2 linked regions of the Arabidopsis thaliana genome follow. The protein of the gene in region 1 interacts with the protein of each later gene in a pairwise test. Each region holds a gene or a part of one and is shown in the gene's direction. Other genes may lie near its edges.

What was found. The genes of interacting proteins can lie anywhere in the genome.
Region 2: the proteins of NGA4 (region 1) and ZFWD1 interact in a two-hybrid assay, tested with the Arabidopsis thaliana proteins (one large-scale study listed by BioGRID).

The regions. Positions count from the first base shown.
Region 1 is NC_003075.7:635,944-643,463, forward strand, and holds NGA4 (AP2/B3-like transcriptional factor family protein), read left to right. Parts: upstream 1-3,303; 5' UTR 3,304-3,455; intron 3,456-3,658; 5' UTR 3,659-3,847; coding exon 3,848-4,849; 3' UTR 4,850-5,033; downstream 5,034-7,520. Other genes in the region: ARV2 (Arv1-like protein), read left to right, coding at 6,812-6,907, 7,000-7,233, 7,327-7,372, 7,441-7,514. UniProt on the Arabidopsis thaliana protein: Regulates lateral organ growth. Functionally redundant with NGA1, NGA2 and NGA3.
Region 2 is NC_003075.7:13,004,981-13,013,863, reverse strand, and holds ZFWD1 (zinc finger WD40 repeat protein 1), read left to right. Parts: upstream 1-4,245; 5' UTR 4,246-4,329; exon of another isoform or gene 4,330-4,430; 5' UTR 4,431-4,482; coding exon 4,483-4,917; intron 4,918-5,017; coding exon 5,018-5,113; intron 5,114-5,283; coding exon 5,284-5,373; intron 5,374-5,508; coding exon 5,509-5,610; intron 5,611-5,809; coding exon 5,810-5,956; intron 5,957-6,075; coding exon 6,076-6,195; intron 6,196-6,282; coding exon 6,283-6,342; intron 6,343-6,432; coding exon 6,433-6,530; intron 6,531-6,612; coding exon 6,613-6,757; 3' UTR 6,758-7,174; downstream 7,175-8,883. Other genes in the region: ABCB28 (non-intrinsic ABC protein 8), read left to right, coding at 1-342, 519-706, 808-831, 919-1,020, 1,215-1,305, 1,422-1,522, 1,629-1,679, 1,787-1,915 and 8 more; NUDT10 (nudix hydrolase homolog 10), read left to right, coding at 8,093-8,263, 8,358-8,423, 8,720-8,857.

The DNA.
Region 1 (7,520 bases):
TCCCCAACATGTGTCTCCGGTGACTGATTTCAAGTGGACCAAAGAAATTTGGAAAATTAACACTTCACCAAAGATGAAATTTTTCATGTGGAAAGCTATGAGAGGATCCTTACCAGTCGGAGAAAACCTGCGCCTTAGACAGATCAATGAAGAAGCGAGATGCCCTTTCTGCGGAGAGGAGGAGTCATCTTTCCACCTGTTCTTCACCTGTCGTTTTGCTACAGAAATCTGGCAAAACGCGCCTTTTAAACAGCCCTTGGATCCCAATACCACTGTGTCCTTTAGGGATCTAATTAAGAAAGTTAATCTGAGCGTTTGCCTCCCACCAATTGGCGTAGGAACGGGACCTCTCCTACCGTGGATTCTCTGGTCGATCTGGCTTTCTAGGAACCACTTAATCTTCAAGGATCGCCTCAGCTCCCCCTCTGAAACTCTGGCTCGAGCAATCAGTCTAGCACGAGAGTGGCTTTTAGCTCAGAATACAACCCATATCCGACCTCTGCAGCAAACCCTAGGGAAAATCATTTCAATCTCAAACAACACTAGTATCTGCCAAACCGACGCTGCCTGGAACAAAGAACATAAATTGGTTGGTTTAGGATGGATTTTCAATCCCACCATCACTGAAACAAGTAGGATTGGATCTAATTCAAGAAGGAATGTTCGATCACCTCTTTTAGCGGAAGCTCTCGCCATCCACGAAGCTCTCTGCCATGCATCGACTTTGGGTATCCAAAACATTGTAATAGCGTCCGATTCCAAGCAGTTGATCAACGCAATCAATTTGGGGGATCCTCCATTGGAACTCCACGGGATTCTACACGATATCCTGAGTTTATCTTCTACTTTTCTGCAATCTAGTTTTTCTTTCATCTCTCGGAAACACAATGGCGAAGCTGATGAGATTGCTAAGTGTTCTCTTAAAACGATTGTACTGGACCCGGTTTAGTGGTTATTTGAATTTAAATTTTGTCCAAAAAAAAAATAATAATAATAACGTGTGCTACCGTAATTTATATTGCAACACGGTCGGACACAGAAAAACACCACATAGTGAAATAATTTACATGCAAACAAAGAAAAAGTATTCTATTATAACATGTTAACAAAAGCTAATACCCGAAAGTTAAATTGACAACAAATACATATGCATTCCTAGATTTCTTAAAATCATAAAGTCATACATGGATTGACTTGTATATATTTTTTTTTGGACAAAAGGATTGACTTGTATATATAATTCAAAATGCGTTATTGTTATTTGATGTTGATGCATATAATGTTGGGTACCACAAAACATGGACACACATAGAAAACCAGAGCTACTTTCCACTTGAGTTTTGTAAAAATCATAATCAGACAAATTGGACAAAATTTGTTATGATTTTCTTACATAAATGATAATCCATGTGATTTGCTAAGTTCTGACAGGTGAAATCTAATTACGGAAAATGTCAGAAGATTTAACAAAAAAAAAGGGTCAGAAGAATACATTATTTCATAACCATATGAGTTAACTAATTAAGATGATGAAATAAAATCTGTAAGAAGTTAACACGTGTTTACATTTTGACAAATTAAGACAAGTATACAGATATAGTTTTAATTGAGATATTAGATTGAAATCCACTTGGTGTGGTTTCAAAAAAAAAAAAGAGAGAGATTGATATCCAGTTGTTAAAATTGGAGATACTAAACCAATTACCAAAAACAAATAAATATTATATTTAAAATATCTAGAAGATTTTATTGCTTATCGCCTAGACAACAAATGTGGTTATCCCCTGAAAAATATTTACTAGTAAGTAATTGAAAAAATCTTGAATAATTAAGATTTATAATTTAAAATTATCACAGTTATAAAAATTTACAAAATACCTTTATTTTGTTTTAAGAAACATTGTAGAAATGTTTCGAACCTTTTCTCCCATTGATTTAACAATTTCAGGTGAAAACGTTTAAGAGTTTTATTTTGGTATTAAGAAAGCATTGTGAAAATGTTTAAGAATTAAATCAATGGTAAATACCAAAGTAAATAAATTCTTATAAATAAAAATCCAAAAGACCAAAGTAAAATTCTTAAACTTTCAGAAATGGTCTTATAAGAAATTACTAATTGGTCTTATAAGAAATTCTTAAACCTTCTTATAAGACCATTTCTAAAAAGTTTAAATGAATTTTTATTTTTTTCAGCATTCTTAGGAAAAACCTAAAAAAACTAAGATATTCATTAGAATTTACAGTGTCTCATTATAATTTTACATAAAATGAATATGTTTTAGTGTTTATATTTTTAAAATAGAGAAAAAATATTTTAAATTTTAAATTTATTAAAAGTAATATTTCCATAACTTTCAGATTAATATTATATTATAGATTAATTTAATAATTTTCTTTACTAATAATATAGCTGGTCTAATGTCTATCTAGAAACCTAATATTATTTTTTTTTAATGATTTTCTTACATGTATAGATTAAAAAGTTATTTATTTGGTCTAGTGTCAATCTTGTAATCTATTTTTTTAATTTGTTCATGGTCTTTTTACATTTTTTATATACATATATAGATACTAAAATTAGCTAGTTCCACTTGTAAGCATATGTGTGGAGCCGTATCTAGTTATAGTTAATTTAAATCTTCATATTGTACTTTTGTGTGGTTTCCTATCTTTGGTATACACAGATTAGTTATAATATATGATGATTTAATATAATTAGCTAAAAATAACTAGATAGAAGAAACTGACAAACATTTTTTCATGGTCTAATATAATTTAATATAACTTCCTATCATGTAACCTATTTTCTTAATTTGGTCATGTCTTTTTACATTTTTTGATACAGAAATAACACGTGTAAGCATATGTGTGGAGCCATATCTAGTTATAGTTAATATAAATCTTCATGTTGTACTTTTGTGTGGTTTTCTATCTTCGGTATACACAAATTAGTTATAATATATGATGATTTAATATAATTAGCTAAAAATAAGTAAAGAACTAATTAGAAGAAACTAACAAACAGAAAATAATAAATACAAAAGATCTGGTATGAATAAAGATGAAAATAAAAATACAGATATCAAAATAAAAGGAAATAGTCTCACAAAAGATTGACACAATACATGTATGTATATATTTGTATATCTATATAAATAGCTAGAGTTACCCCAAGTCTATAGCTAATTGAAAAGGACAAGAAGCTCTCACATGACCCGAACCACACCATTCATGGGCCCCTTTACTCTTCTCTAATATTTGATCTTCATCTCCATCATCGAGGAAATCTCTCTCAAGCCACTATATTTCTTCACCCCTTAAAGTCATCTAGAGAGAAAGATAGAGAGAGAACCTTTTTTTTTTTTAACTCCAAACCATTGATTTCATTTTCATTTATTTCTCTTTTGGAGTCAACGAAAAGATCAGAAGAAGAAGCAAACACAAAGAGTGAAAGAGTACGTCTGTCTTCTTCTTCTGGATTTAGGGTTTTCTTTTTCACTTTTTGTTTTTTTGGTTATAGCTTTTTTTCTTCTTCTTGTTCTTCACTTCATCTTCCATTTACTTTTAATTATTTGATTGAAGTATTACTTTTTTTCCTTAGTATTGGGGTGATGATTTTTATTTGATTTCTAATAAAATTATTTCATGTATGTTGAAGGATTTTGTATTGGATCTTGTCAAGAATCACTCATTCAGATCCATAAAAATAAAGTTGAATACTTTTTGAAAGATCTTGAATTGGTCCATCTTCTTTTCAAGAACCTATAAGTTGGATACTTTTGAAAGATCTTGAAATTGGGTCATCAATCTTCTCAAGACCCCATATATAAACAGCTTGATACTTTTGATGAATATCTCAACAATGAATCTTGACCAAGAACTCGCCGAGATCAGAGCTAGCAGTTCCGACCACACCAATTACTTCTACAGCTCGGAGAGGAGAGAGCACATGTTCGACAAAGTGTTGACACCAAGTGACGTCGGTAAACTAAACCGGCTCGTGATTCCAAAGCAACATGCAGAGAACTTCTTCCCTTTAGAGGACAATCAAAACGGCACAGTGTTGGATTTCCAAGACAAAAACGGCAAGATGTGGAGGTTTCGTTACTCGTATTGGAACAGTAGCCAAAGCTACGTGATGACCAAAGGATGGAGCCGTTTCGTCAAGGAGAAGAAACTCTTCGCCGGAGACACCGTCTCTTTCTACCGTGGCTACATCCCTGACGATAACGCACAACCGGAGAGACGACGGAAAATAATGTTCATCGATTGGAGGCCTAGAGCCGAGATAAACTTCGTACACAACATTAACAATCATAACTTCGTTTTCGGGTCTCCGACATATCCAACGGCTAGGTTTTATCCGGTGACGCCGGAATATTCCATGCCATACCGGAGTTTTCCACCGTTTTATCAGAACCAATTTCAAGAACGGGAATATTTAGGGTATGGTTATGGTAGAGTTGTTAATGGTAATGGAGTGCGTTACTACGCAGGATCACCGTTGGATCAACATCATCAGTGGAATCTTGGTCGATCTGAGCCGTTGGTTTATGACTCGGTTCCAGTTTTTCCAGCGGGGAGGGTACCTCCGTCGGCGCCTCCTCAGCCGTCGACGACGAAGAAGCTGAGGCTGTTTGGGGTTGACGTGGAAGAGTCTTCATCTTCAGGGGATACACGTGGCGAAATGGGAGTAGCAGGGTACTCTTCCTCGTCTCCGGTTGTGATCAGAGACGATGATCAATCATTTTGGAGGTCGCCACGTGGCGAAATGGCATCGTCTTCTTCGGCTATGCAGCTAAGTGATGATGAAGAATATAAGAGGAAAGGGAAATCTTTAGAGCTTTGAAGATAGAATAAAATAAGAACTAAGGAGTAATTTATTCACCATTTTCTTTTAAGAGTTAGTTCCAACTTTCAACTCATTAGATCATTTGGCAATTGGGGAATATGTAGTGGGAAATTAACCGGGCTTATATCTATATATTGGTTTAATTAAGAGTTTTTGTTTCAACATGTTGATCCTTGAGCCCTAATTACCATGTTGAATAGAAAACCCCCATCTTTCAATGTTAAATTAAGCTTATAAATAATATAAATAATCATTTAATTTTCATATAATCTTGAGTTTTTAACTATAGTTACTCATATTGTCAAATTAAATGCTTACAACGATCCATAAATCAAAAGTGTTCATCTCTGTATCCTAACTTTGTTTTGGTTCTAGTTTGAGATGTATACTCTTGGGAAGGAGAAAAAAGCTTATAAAATTTTATGAATTGTACTCTCTGTGCCTATCTGTAGCTAAGCTGACAAAGTTTCATGGTACATTCTAAGCTAATGGGCAGTTTCAAAAGTGTCGCTCTCTCTTTCCCTACCAATGGTCCAATTTTAGTTTGTTTGGTTACTATTGTCTTGGGTTGGTTTAAAGAGATTTGTAGGTTATGGACAGAGAACAAAAAAGAGAAGCTATGGAAGGACAATTTCAGTTTATAATGATAATTTTGAAAAAAGAAATATGAAAGGTATGATATGTTCTTTCATTTTTTACTTTATCCCAAAAACAAAATTTCTACTATTTATTTTCATTTACTTTCGTTTGTTTCTTGTTTTGTTCATAGCTCACAACCGTTCGTCCGTACATCCGTACGTGACTTGTTTGGATTTTTATTTCTATTGGATGTGCCATATTTAAACGAAATTGAAATAATTAGTTTGTCATATATAGAATCCAATAATTAATTTCTATTGGATTTTTTGTTGCTAACTGTGTTTTCTAGGTAAAGAAGAGAAACTGCATTTAAATAAAGAAAAGAAAAAATAACACCTAAATTTGAAAACAACTTCATATTTAAGAGATATATATTGTTCCATCATAACGAAAAATAGATATCCAAAATATCTACAAGGTTAGTGACTCCAAAAGCTGGAGCGTTTACGATAGTGATATCTATTACAACTGGAGTAAAGAGAAACAGTTCCACGTTGGAGACCGTCTCCTTTTCGAATACAACAATGAATTCAACTATGTCTACTAGATCAGCGGTGACCTTGAATTCTAATACTGTGACCCGAATTCTCCAATAGCCGTGCACAAGACACGCCACGATCTCATCAAGCTCACCAAACCATGAATCCATTATTCATTAGCTCAAAGCCAGGTGGGATTAAGCTCCAAGTCGTGGTCGGACCAACACTCAATGTTCTAAAGTTGTCACCTTTAGAATGTCTCACAAGGTGGTTAGACTCTTTCAGACACCATCATCACTAAACGTCTATATCAACTAGTCAAGCATATGCTACTTCCGTTTTTGGTTGGTTAATTAAGATTTGATTTACTCTTGTTTGGTTTCCATTGTTCTTCTTTTTCACCTTGATGTAACAGTCGAGTTTCTTCCTAGTGTTATTAAATAAATATATTTTTATTGAAGTAAAGATTGGTGAGAATATTTATTCAATACAACAAAAATTGAAAATTTGAACTCTAGTTTTGATTTCATTATCTGCATTATCTTTGAGTTTTAGTTAAAATTAAGCCAAAAACAACAAAAACAAAGCTGAAACCTAATAGACTAAACTAATGTAATACCATCAAACTTACGAATTCCTAATTTCATTTTTAAAGTCACAGTGACTTGGATTAAAGTTCCCAAAATATTATAATCTGAATGCAATTTCTTGTATTAATTACAACGATAGTCAATAGAGGCCCAGAAGAAGGTTCAAATAAAGGCCCATTATGGCCCAAGTTATAACCCGAATAAAGGATCCGATCGAGAAGGAGAGAGACAACAGTCACAGACACAGAGAGATGGCGAGAGAGAAGAAGACGTGTGTAGAGTGTGGGCACAAGGTTAAATCTTTGTTCATACAATACTCTCCTGGAAATTTTCGTCTCATGAAATGCGTAAGCTTTTACCAAAACTAATTAGGGTTCTTAATCTCTACTTGTAATCTCCCCAAAGTTTAAAGCTTTTTTTGATGTTCAATTTTTGGTAGGAGAATTGCGAAGAAGTAGCAGACGAATATGTCGAGTGTGAGCTATTGGTCTATATCTATATGTCTCTCTATTTTCAAGTTTCAATTTTTATGCTTTTGTGTTCATCAAGTTTTGATTTTTTTGTGTGTTTTGATAATCATCAGATTATTTTCATCGACTTGATTCTTCACAAAACAAAGGCTTATAGACACTTACTCTACAATGTTGTTAATCAAGAATCTGCAAATGTTCAGGTAAACATATTGTGAATCTTGGTTTTGTAAAGTTTGAATTCTAAATAGTAATCTACAATTATCTGATCTTTAGAGGGTTTAACAATTTGGCAGCATCTATTATGGAAATTGGTCTTGGCTTATCTTCTTCTAGATACTTGTATCCTTTAGATTTAATATACTCTATACAAGTTGTATTTTGGAGAGAGCCTTTAACAATATCAAAAGATAGAAGCTTGCTACTGAGAAGAACCAATGACGGATCAAATGTGTCTATGAGCTTTCTTTTTGAATCTCTAGAGGTTGGT
Region 2 (8,883 bases), about 12 Mb from region 1:
TCGTCGCTCGTAGACGGTGCCAAGCTTCAGTCCTTAGACCCTACGGCGGTTTAAAGCCCTTTCTTTCCTTCTGCAGCTTACCTAACTCCACTGCGCCGTTCCGGGATTCGTTGAGAGCAAAATCCGATGGATTGGCTCGGGCCTATGTTACCGGAGCGCCGCCTATCGTGGAAGAACCAGACCCAAAGATTGAAGAATCCAAATCTGAGGCTGAATCGAAGGATTTAATTAGTTGGGGGCTTCTGTGGAGCTTGATGAGCAAGCACAAGCTCAGGCTCAGTGTTTGCTTATTGACTCTCCTTGGATGCAGTACTTGCACTCTCTCTATGCCTGTTTTTTCTGGTAATCGGTTCTTCAATCCACTCTCCCACCATTAGCAAATTGTAACTGTACTCTTTTTTTCTCTTTGGGTTTGATGTAGTTTAAGTTTGGGTATGATGATTTAGCTTGTCATCTGTGTTTCTCTTTATCTTGGTGAAGCTGTTTTATAATGGTAAGTGTTATTGTTTTGAGTAAAGGTAGATTCTTTGAAGTACTGATTGGGGTGAGACCGGAGCCTTTGTGGCGGCTGCTGAGCAAAATTGCTGTTTTGTACTCGTTGGAACCCATCTTTACTATTGCTTTTGTGACCAACATGACTGCTATCTGGGAAAACGTTATGGCAATATTAAGAGCTCAGATTTTCAGAAGGGTTTTGATCCAGAAGGTATGTTTTGTTTAGTATGATCAAAGTTCGCTTAAGCTATATTGTTGGCTGTATTGAAATATCATTGATGGGTTTCTTTTTTTTGTCTTTTATATATTCAGGCAGAGTTCTTCGACAAATACAAGGTCTGTTCCTTTTATTCTTGGTTTGCTCAGGTTTGAGACATTTTGGCACAAACCTTCCTTATGTTAGATTGAGTTCATTTGTTTTAGGTTGGAGAGCTAACGGGGCTACTCACGTCTGATCTTGGTGCTCTGAATAGCATTGTGAATGATAACATCTCACGAGATCGTGGATTTAGGGCATTTACAGAGGCAAGCCATTTCTTTACTATGCAAATGTGAGATTTTTGTGTTTGTACATACATTTTTCATAATGAATACAGATTTAATCTTAGCCTGGTGTTGGTGTCTGCTGTTATTTTTGGAGTTCTATAAATGACAAAGACTATCCTGTTGCATCTCAAGAATGCCCAGTTCTCATGGCTTATGCGTTATCCCTTTTGTAGGTTTTTGGAACAATATGTATCCTATTTACTCTATCTCCTCAACTTGCACCTGTACTTGGTCTATTGATGCTAGCTGTGTCAGTTCTAGTTGGTAAATTCTCTATGTCTTTTTCATTCTCCTAAACTTTTTATTTTTGGTAATTACTTTGGTCATCTTTGCTTACTTTGCTTACCTCTACATCTACTCCCTCGGTCAAATCTCAAAAGCTGTGTACAAGAGATCGACTGTTCCTGTTTATAAATCGCATGGATTAGCTCAAGCAACAATGTCTGATTGTGTATCAGAAACGTTCTCTGCAATCCGAACTGTAAGTTCTTGACTTCATCGTATTTGTATCTTTTAGGGCAGATTAAATTATCTGAAGAAACTTTGATTTACCCTTGAAGACTCAAGTAATTTGTATCTCTTTATAGGTAAGATCATTCAGCGGCGAAAAACGTCAGATGTCTATCTTCGGTAGTCAGGTCATATTTCAGACTTCTTACTAGCTAAAACTGATTTCTTCTAAACAATTGTTCTTTTTTCTAACTGATCCATAATCTATTAATCTAAACTTTTGTTTGATGTACAGATTCTTGCTTACAAGCTTAGCGGCTTAAAGCTTGGTACTTTCAAGTCTATAAATGAATCTATAACAAGAGTTGCTGTTTATATTTCTCTGTTGGCTCTTTACTGTCTTGGGGGAAGCAAGGTGAAGACGGTAAGATATACCTGCCTGTAAGACTTGTTGATTGCCATTATGATCATTCAAGTTGAAATTATGCTTCTTGCCCCCTAAAACATAAAGAGAATCGTGTTTTTATGAATTTCTATTGCAGAAGATAGTGTTACTCGTTGTTTATACTTTCTGGAACAAATGACTGGATGTTTCTAGCTAGAATCAAGTTACTACCTTCTGAATTTTTAAATAAAAAAAAACTAAGAATCAAATTTCTCTGTATCTCTCTTTTGTGTAGTTTCTTATGTTGTTACATTTTAGCTCTTTTGCACTTTATTTTTCTTGGTTCTTATTCTTAAAATTTCTCCAACCCAGGGTGAGCTCGCTGTTGGAACAGTTGTTTCGTTCATTGGATACACATTCACTCTAACATTTGCTGTAAGTACCTCTGTCTACACATCATTTACTGTCACACATATGCTATACATGTAATTTAGTTTACCATAACCAGTGATTCTGTTATCCAGGTCCAAGGGCTTGTAAACACGTTTGGAGATCTACGTGGGACTTTTGCTGCTATTGACAGGATCAATTCCATTTTAAACGCGGTGGACATAGATGAGGCTCTTGCCTACGGGTTAGAAAGAGATATACATACAAAGAAAGTCCAAGATGAAAACCTTAAATTGTTCTTGTCTGCTGGCCCAAATGTGAATATCCGTCACCTCGATAAGTACTACATGTCAAATCTGAAATCAACTAACAATCTACGTACCCTAACATGGGCTGGAGATGTCTGTCTTGATGGTAAAATCAGACCAAGAAAAACTCTCTTCATCATATCTTACTACAGCTTTTTACCTTTTTCATATCTGTTTTTCTTTTCCATGTTCTATTTTGTCTAGTGTAGATGTGCATTTTGCTTATCCTCTACGACCCGACGTGAAAGTTCTTGATGGGCTGAGTTTGACGTTGAATTCTGGTACTGTAACTGCTCTTGTTGGCTCTAGTGGTGCGGGAAAAAGTACTATTGTACAGTTATTGGCACGCTTCTATGAGGTTAATCTACCCTCCTCTTCCAATTTGAAGTTTAATATCTGTTGAGACTATGTTTACTGCCACTTTTACATTATGCTGATATGTTGAATTTTCAATTCTTGCAGCCAACACAAGGACGTATTACTGTGGGTGGAGAAGATGTGAGGATGTTTGACAAGAGTGAATGGGCTAAGGTTGTCTCAATTGTGAATCAGGTGTGTATACGTAACATCTATGTGTCAGGCATGGTTGGATCATTTCTTCTCTTCTTCTTCAAAGGTTATCTTTCTGTGTGATTCAGGAACCGGTTCTCTTTTCTCTCTCCGTGGCCGAGAATATTGCATATGGTCTCCCCAATGAGCATGTGTCCAAGGACGACATCATTAAGGCAGCCAAAGCTGCCAACGCTCATGATTTTATAATCTCACTTCCTCAGGTTCAGATTCGTGTGCCTTATACTTTCCTGTTTCTTCCTGGCAATTGCACATCAATTCTTGTGAGCAATACCGGTGTTTGTTTATAGGGATACGATACACTGGTTGGTGAAAGAGGAGGCTTGCTTAGCGGAGGACAACGACAGGTATAGAAACATTATGAGCTACATGTTTTTGATTTCTGATAGACTTTTGCAACTGCTTTGATGTGCTTGTTTATCAATGTGTTAGAGAGTTGCCATAGCCCGATCTCTGCTGAAGAATGCCCCCATCTTGATTCTCGATGAGGTGAGAGACTCTTATTTTAATAATCTCGCCTTTGATGAACTGTCTGCTTTGCTAGAACCTTTACCTAAGTAATAGCATATCAAACAAGAACACAAACAGTTAGTATGAGACATCTCTGCTTAGTCTCTCTCTTGCTTACTTTGTTGCAGGCCACAAGTGCGCTGGATGCAGTGAGCGAGCGGTTAGTCCAGAGTGCGTTGAACCGTCTGATGAAAGACAGGACAACATTAGTCATCGCTCACAGACTGAGCACAGTTCAGAGCGCGAATCAGATCGCTGTGTGCTCTGATGGGAAGATCATAGAGCTTGGAACACATTCCGAATTGGTAGCGCAAAAGGGATCATATGCTTCACTTGTTGGCACTCAGAGACTAGCCTTTGAGTAATTTACCTTAACTCGGTGTAATTTGTAACAAATTACTACAAAATTACAAATGGTAGAATCTGGTTTTATATACAACTTTGATTAACAATAGTTTATAGACAGATCAAATTTTCAAAAATTTATAGTAAAACAAGAAGAAATTAAACGACCATTGATGTGAAGCTGACGTGGAGGGATCTTCACTTATGTTTTCTTCAAGAATGATCCGAAGATTAAAAAAAACCGAAGCCGCTTGACATCTTCTTCCAATTTTGATTTATCAAAGAAAACTCCTTTGTGAGAGATTATTTATGTACTCTTGATTCAGAGAGGTAAATTCTGTTAGGGGTTCGTTCGATTTTCGCGCTTGTTTTTGTTTACTTATGATCGGATTTGGTATTTTGAACAGTAATGATCCATTCGACGTTTACAGGATAATCCAATTCCGAGTTTTCTGAGTCGTAATTTAGAGAGAATCCAATTCGATGGATTTAGATATGAACGGAGGAAACAAGAGAGTCTTTCAAAGACTGGGCGGTGGCTCTAATCGGCCGACGACGGACTCAAATCAGAAGGTTTGTTTCCACTGGCGAGCTGGCCGGTGCAATCGTTACCCATGCCCTTACCTGCATAGAGAATTGCCGGGTCCGGGTTCGGGTCCAGTAGCAGCTTCTTCAAATAAAAGGGTCGCTGATGAATCTGGGTTTGCGGGTCCGAGTCACCGGAGAGGGCCTGGGTTCAGCGGGACTGCTAATAACTGGGGAAGATTTGGTGGGAACAGAACGGTGACCAAGACGGAGAAACTTTGCAAATTCTGGGTTGATGGAAATTGCCCTTATGGTGATAAATGTAGATACTTGCATTGCTGGAGCAAAGGAGATAGTTTCTCCTTGTTGACGCAGCTTGACGGGCATCAGAAGGTATCTTGTTGTTGAGTGTCCTTATAAGTGATGCTGGATTCTTGTGCTTGTTGGCGATGTTGATAGTTTTTTTTTTTTTTGGTTCTGATTTCTCGAGTAGGTTGTTACTGGGATTGCTCTGCCTTCAGGATCAGATAAGCTTTACACGGCGAGTAAAGATGAAACTGTGCGAATATGGGATTGTGCTTCTGGACAGGTTTTGATTTGCCTCTGATAATTATTTCTTTTATTGTTGTTTGATTGAGTTTCGCTCCATATTTAGTTTAGCTATTGAGTTTAAAACATCATTTTGATATGGCTGGTTGTTTGGACTACTTTATAGGCGTACTTCTCATTCTAGTATTTGTTTTTTTTTCTACGATGTAGTGTACAGGTGTACTCAATCTTGGTGGGGAAGTTGGCTGCATCATTAGTGAAGGTCCCTGGCTATTGGTTGGCATGCCAAATCTTGTTAAGGTAAGTTCAGAGTATGATTCATTTGCATGGTTCCTTGACTATTAAAACTCTTCATCTATACTGAGAATCACTTTTGTTGTCCTATGTGTTGAGGTTTATTGTTGTTACGGATATACATTTTTGAATTATATGCAGGCGTGGAATATCCAAAACAATGCAGACCTGAGCCTCAATGGACCTGTTGGCCAAGTATATTCATTGGTTGTGGGTACTGATCTATTGTTCGCTGGCACACAAGTAAATACTTTTACTGACTGTAAACTTCTTTTCTAAGGCCTTGGAGAGTTGGAGTAGAATTTTGCTTCAGCGTCATGTATATACTTAAAATCATTTTTTGTCTTGAATATCATTTCAAGTTTGCGTCATCTCTTGGAAAAACCACCTCTGCTATAGAAATCTACAGTTCTATTGGATTTTGATAAAAATTCTTCTGCAGGATGGCTCTATTTTGGTTTGGAGATACAATAGCACCACTAGCTGTTTTGATCCAGCTGCATCACTATTGGGTCACACGCTTGCAGTTGTCTCTTTATATGTTGGGGCAAACAGACTCTATTCTGGTGCCATGGACAATTCTATAAAAGTAAGTAGTGTGGCACTACTTAAAAAGTAGTCACCAGTGCCTATTATACCTAAATTAAAATCCCCTTTCTGTTTTTTTTTTGTTTAAGCTCATAGGCCTACCTTATCTGTTTTTAATAGGTTTGGAGCCTGGATAATCTGCAGTGTATTCAAACGCTTACAGAGCATACATCAGTTGTTATGTCTCTCATTTGCTGGGATCAGTTTCTTCTGTCATGTTCATTGGACAATACCGTCAAGGTTTGGTTCTAACTCGCTAGATAATTGGCTCGATTCCTGAATATGACATTACCCCCTGTTTTTTTTTTTTTTTTTTTTCCGTTGTAGATATGGGCTGCTACTGAAGGTGGAAACTTAGAAGTGACATATACTCACAAAGAAGAATACGTACAGTTCCTAGCATTTTTGTTGAAATATTACCCTTTCTCTTGATTCATTCTATATGTAACTAAGTTCTCAATGGCTATTTGGATATAGGGCGTGCTAGCTCTCTGTGGCGTCCATGATGCAGAAGCCAAGCCAGTATTGCTATGTTCGTGCAATGACAATTCGTTGCACCTCTATGATTTGCCATCGTAAGTCTTTCCAATGCTGTTTGTTTCATGAGTATACAATTATGTTTTACTTTCAAAAGCTTAGATTCTGTTCTTATGTAAGGTTTACGGAAAGGGGCAAAATTTTAGCTAAGCAAGAGATTCGGTCAATCCAGATAGGTCCCGGGGGCATATTTTTCACCGGTGATGGAAGTGGTCAAGTTAAAGTATGGAAGTGGTCTACTGAGTCGACCCCTATTTTGTCTTGAGGCGCAAAACAGAGCCCTAGTTCTTCACCTTTGTCAAATCTCTTCTTCTCGGAGTGTCAATAGTTCTTGTTTGTTTTGTTGTTCGAGAGATTGTAAGTAGCATCAAGGCATCTGTCTCTCTGGCTCCATTAAGTCTCTGCAGTTAAGACAGACGGCCGCAGAGAAGATTATGGACCACTGATTGTATCTACTATTATATTGATTTGATGTCAGAGCAGAGACATGGTCTGATCAGTTCCAGAGACGCGTATGGATCTGCCCACGTTGGTTGCAGACTTACTGTTCTTACTTCTTAGGCATAAGAAACTTTTGTCCCTCTTTGGTCAACATTCTTGTCATGTAATTTATGGCATAGATCTTTGTAGTCATGTTTCAGTGTAATAAAAGAGATGATTTATCATAAAGAGAATTTCTTACTGTATTCAAATTATGGTCAGGGTCGAATGTTGAAGAGAATGTCCACAATGATGGTATTAACAGAGTTTCCGAAGCATCTTATTAACCTTGATAGCATCACTTCCACGACCACGAGCACTGGGATTTTCCAACTTCCTCTAGAGAGAAACTGAGCCTGTGGGTATTGAGCGGTTTCACATCGATCTTCTGGCTTGCCACAGCAGTACGAGGCACAGATGCCAAATGTTCTTGTAGCTGCTAGGTACAGAGCCGAACGGGCATTGAAAGGTTGGCCTTTTCATTTGTGTGACCAAAGATTGTTGAATGTTTAACACTTTTACTCAAGATGAGACATGGGGATAGTTTACATTATTTATATAGTTCTGCTGGAAAATTAACAACAAGCCCGTCTAGCTCAGTTGGTAGAGCGCAAGGCTCTTAACCTTCTGGTCGTGGGTTCGAGCCCCACGGTGGGCGTGAAATTACATTTTATTTTTGTACCATGATGTCAGTAAGCCCATTCTCTAATGAATATGAAACTAAACGGAGTTATTTTGTCAAAATGGAAATTAGAGCATGCGACATGATCAAAAGTATTTCTAATTAGGGTTTGTGTTACGTATGGATTTCTTATTTTTGCGTTAAAGGTGACGTGTGGGACTACGTCACTCCACCGAAGGGCCTCGACGGGTTAATGTGAAGGCCATTATGAATTTATGATGGTTATGATTTGTGACCCACCCCACTAATGTACATTATTAGTAAATATCTAAATGTTTATATAACTACTTGACTTCTGCCATTGCCGCCTCGTGATTGTTCTCCTTTTGAAATCATTTGCTTCGTTGAAACCACACTCTCCTTTTACTTTATCTTCTCCTTTTCGTTGAATACTTGAAATCTTCCAATCTTCCTCCAAATTTTTTCAGAGTTTGAAGCATGTCAGACCAAGAGGCTCCTCTGCGTAATGGAGTAGAACACAAGATTTTCGAAGTACTTCCGTTTGTGGATGATGATTACGGTGGAGTCATCGTGGAGATGAAAACTCCTATGGATACTAAGAATTTCGTTGCAGCGCTTAGAGATTCATTCGAGCAGTGGCGCTTACAGGTTTGTGTTGGTGCGAGATCACATGCATCTCTGTCTTCTTGAGTGAGCGAGCGGTTGATTCTGTAAAACCTTTTTGTTTGTTTTTTGTTGTCAGGGTAAAAAGGGAGTCTGGTTGAACTTGCCTCTCTCACACGTAAACCTCGTGGAACCCGCGGTTAAGGTCACATATCAGATTAAATTTGATTCCTAAGTCTTGCATATTAACGTTACTTAATTATCATCTTTTGTTAATTAGATGTCATTGTCTTATCTATTGCTAATATTAGTATTAAGATGAATCTCTTTTGTACCATGGACATATTTTAGTTTTGTTTTTAAAAAGAAAATCTTTTTGGGTTTGACATATTTAGGTTAATGGGATGTATAGTTGATATACCAAGTTATAGCTGCATATCCCCATGTATTATTACATTGAGGGATGAACAAACTGGTCCCATAAATAATTTGTGCATGCAGGAAGGTTTCCGGTATCACCATGCTGAGCCAACTTACCTGATGCTAGTTTATTGGATTCCGGAAGCCGAGAGTACTATTCCTTTGAATGCTTCCCATCGTGTTCGTGTAGGTGCTGTTGTCTTGAACCATAACAAAGAGGTACTTAGGAGATAGGACACCATTAT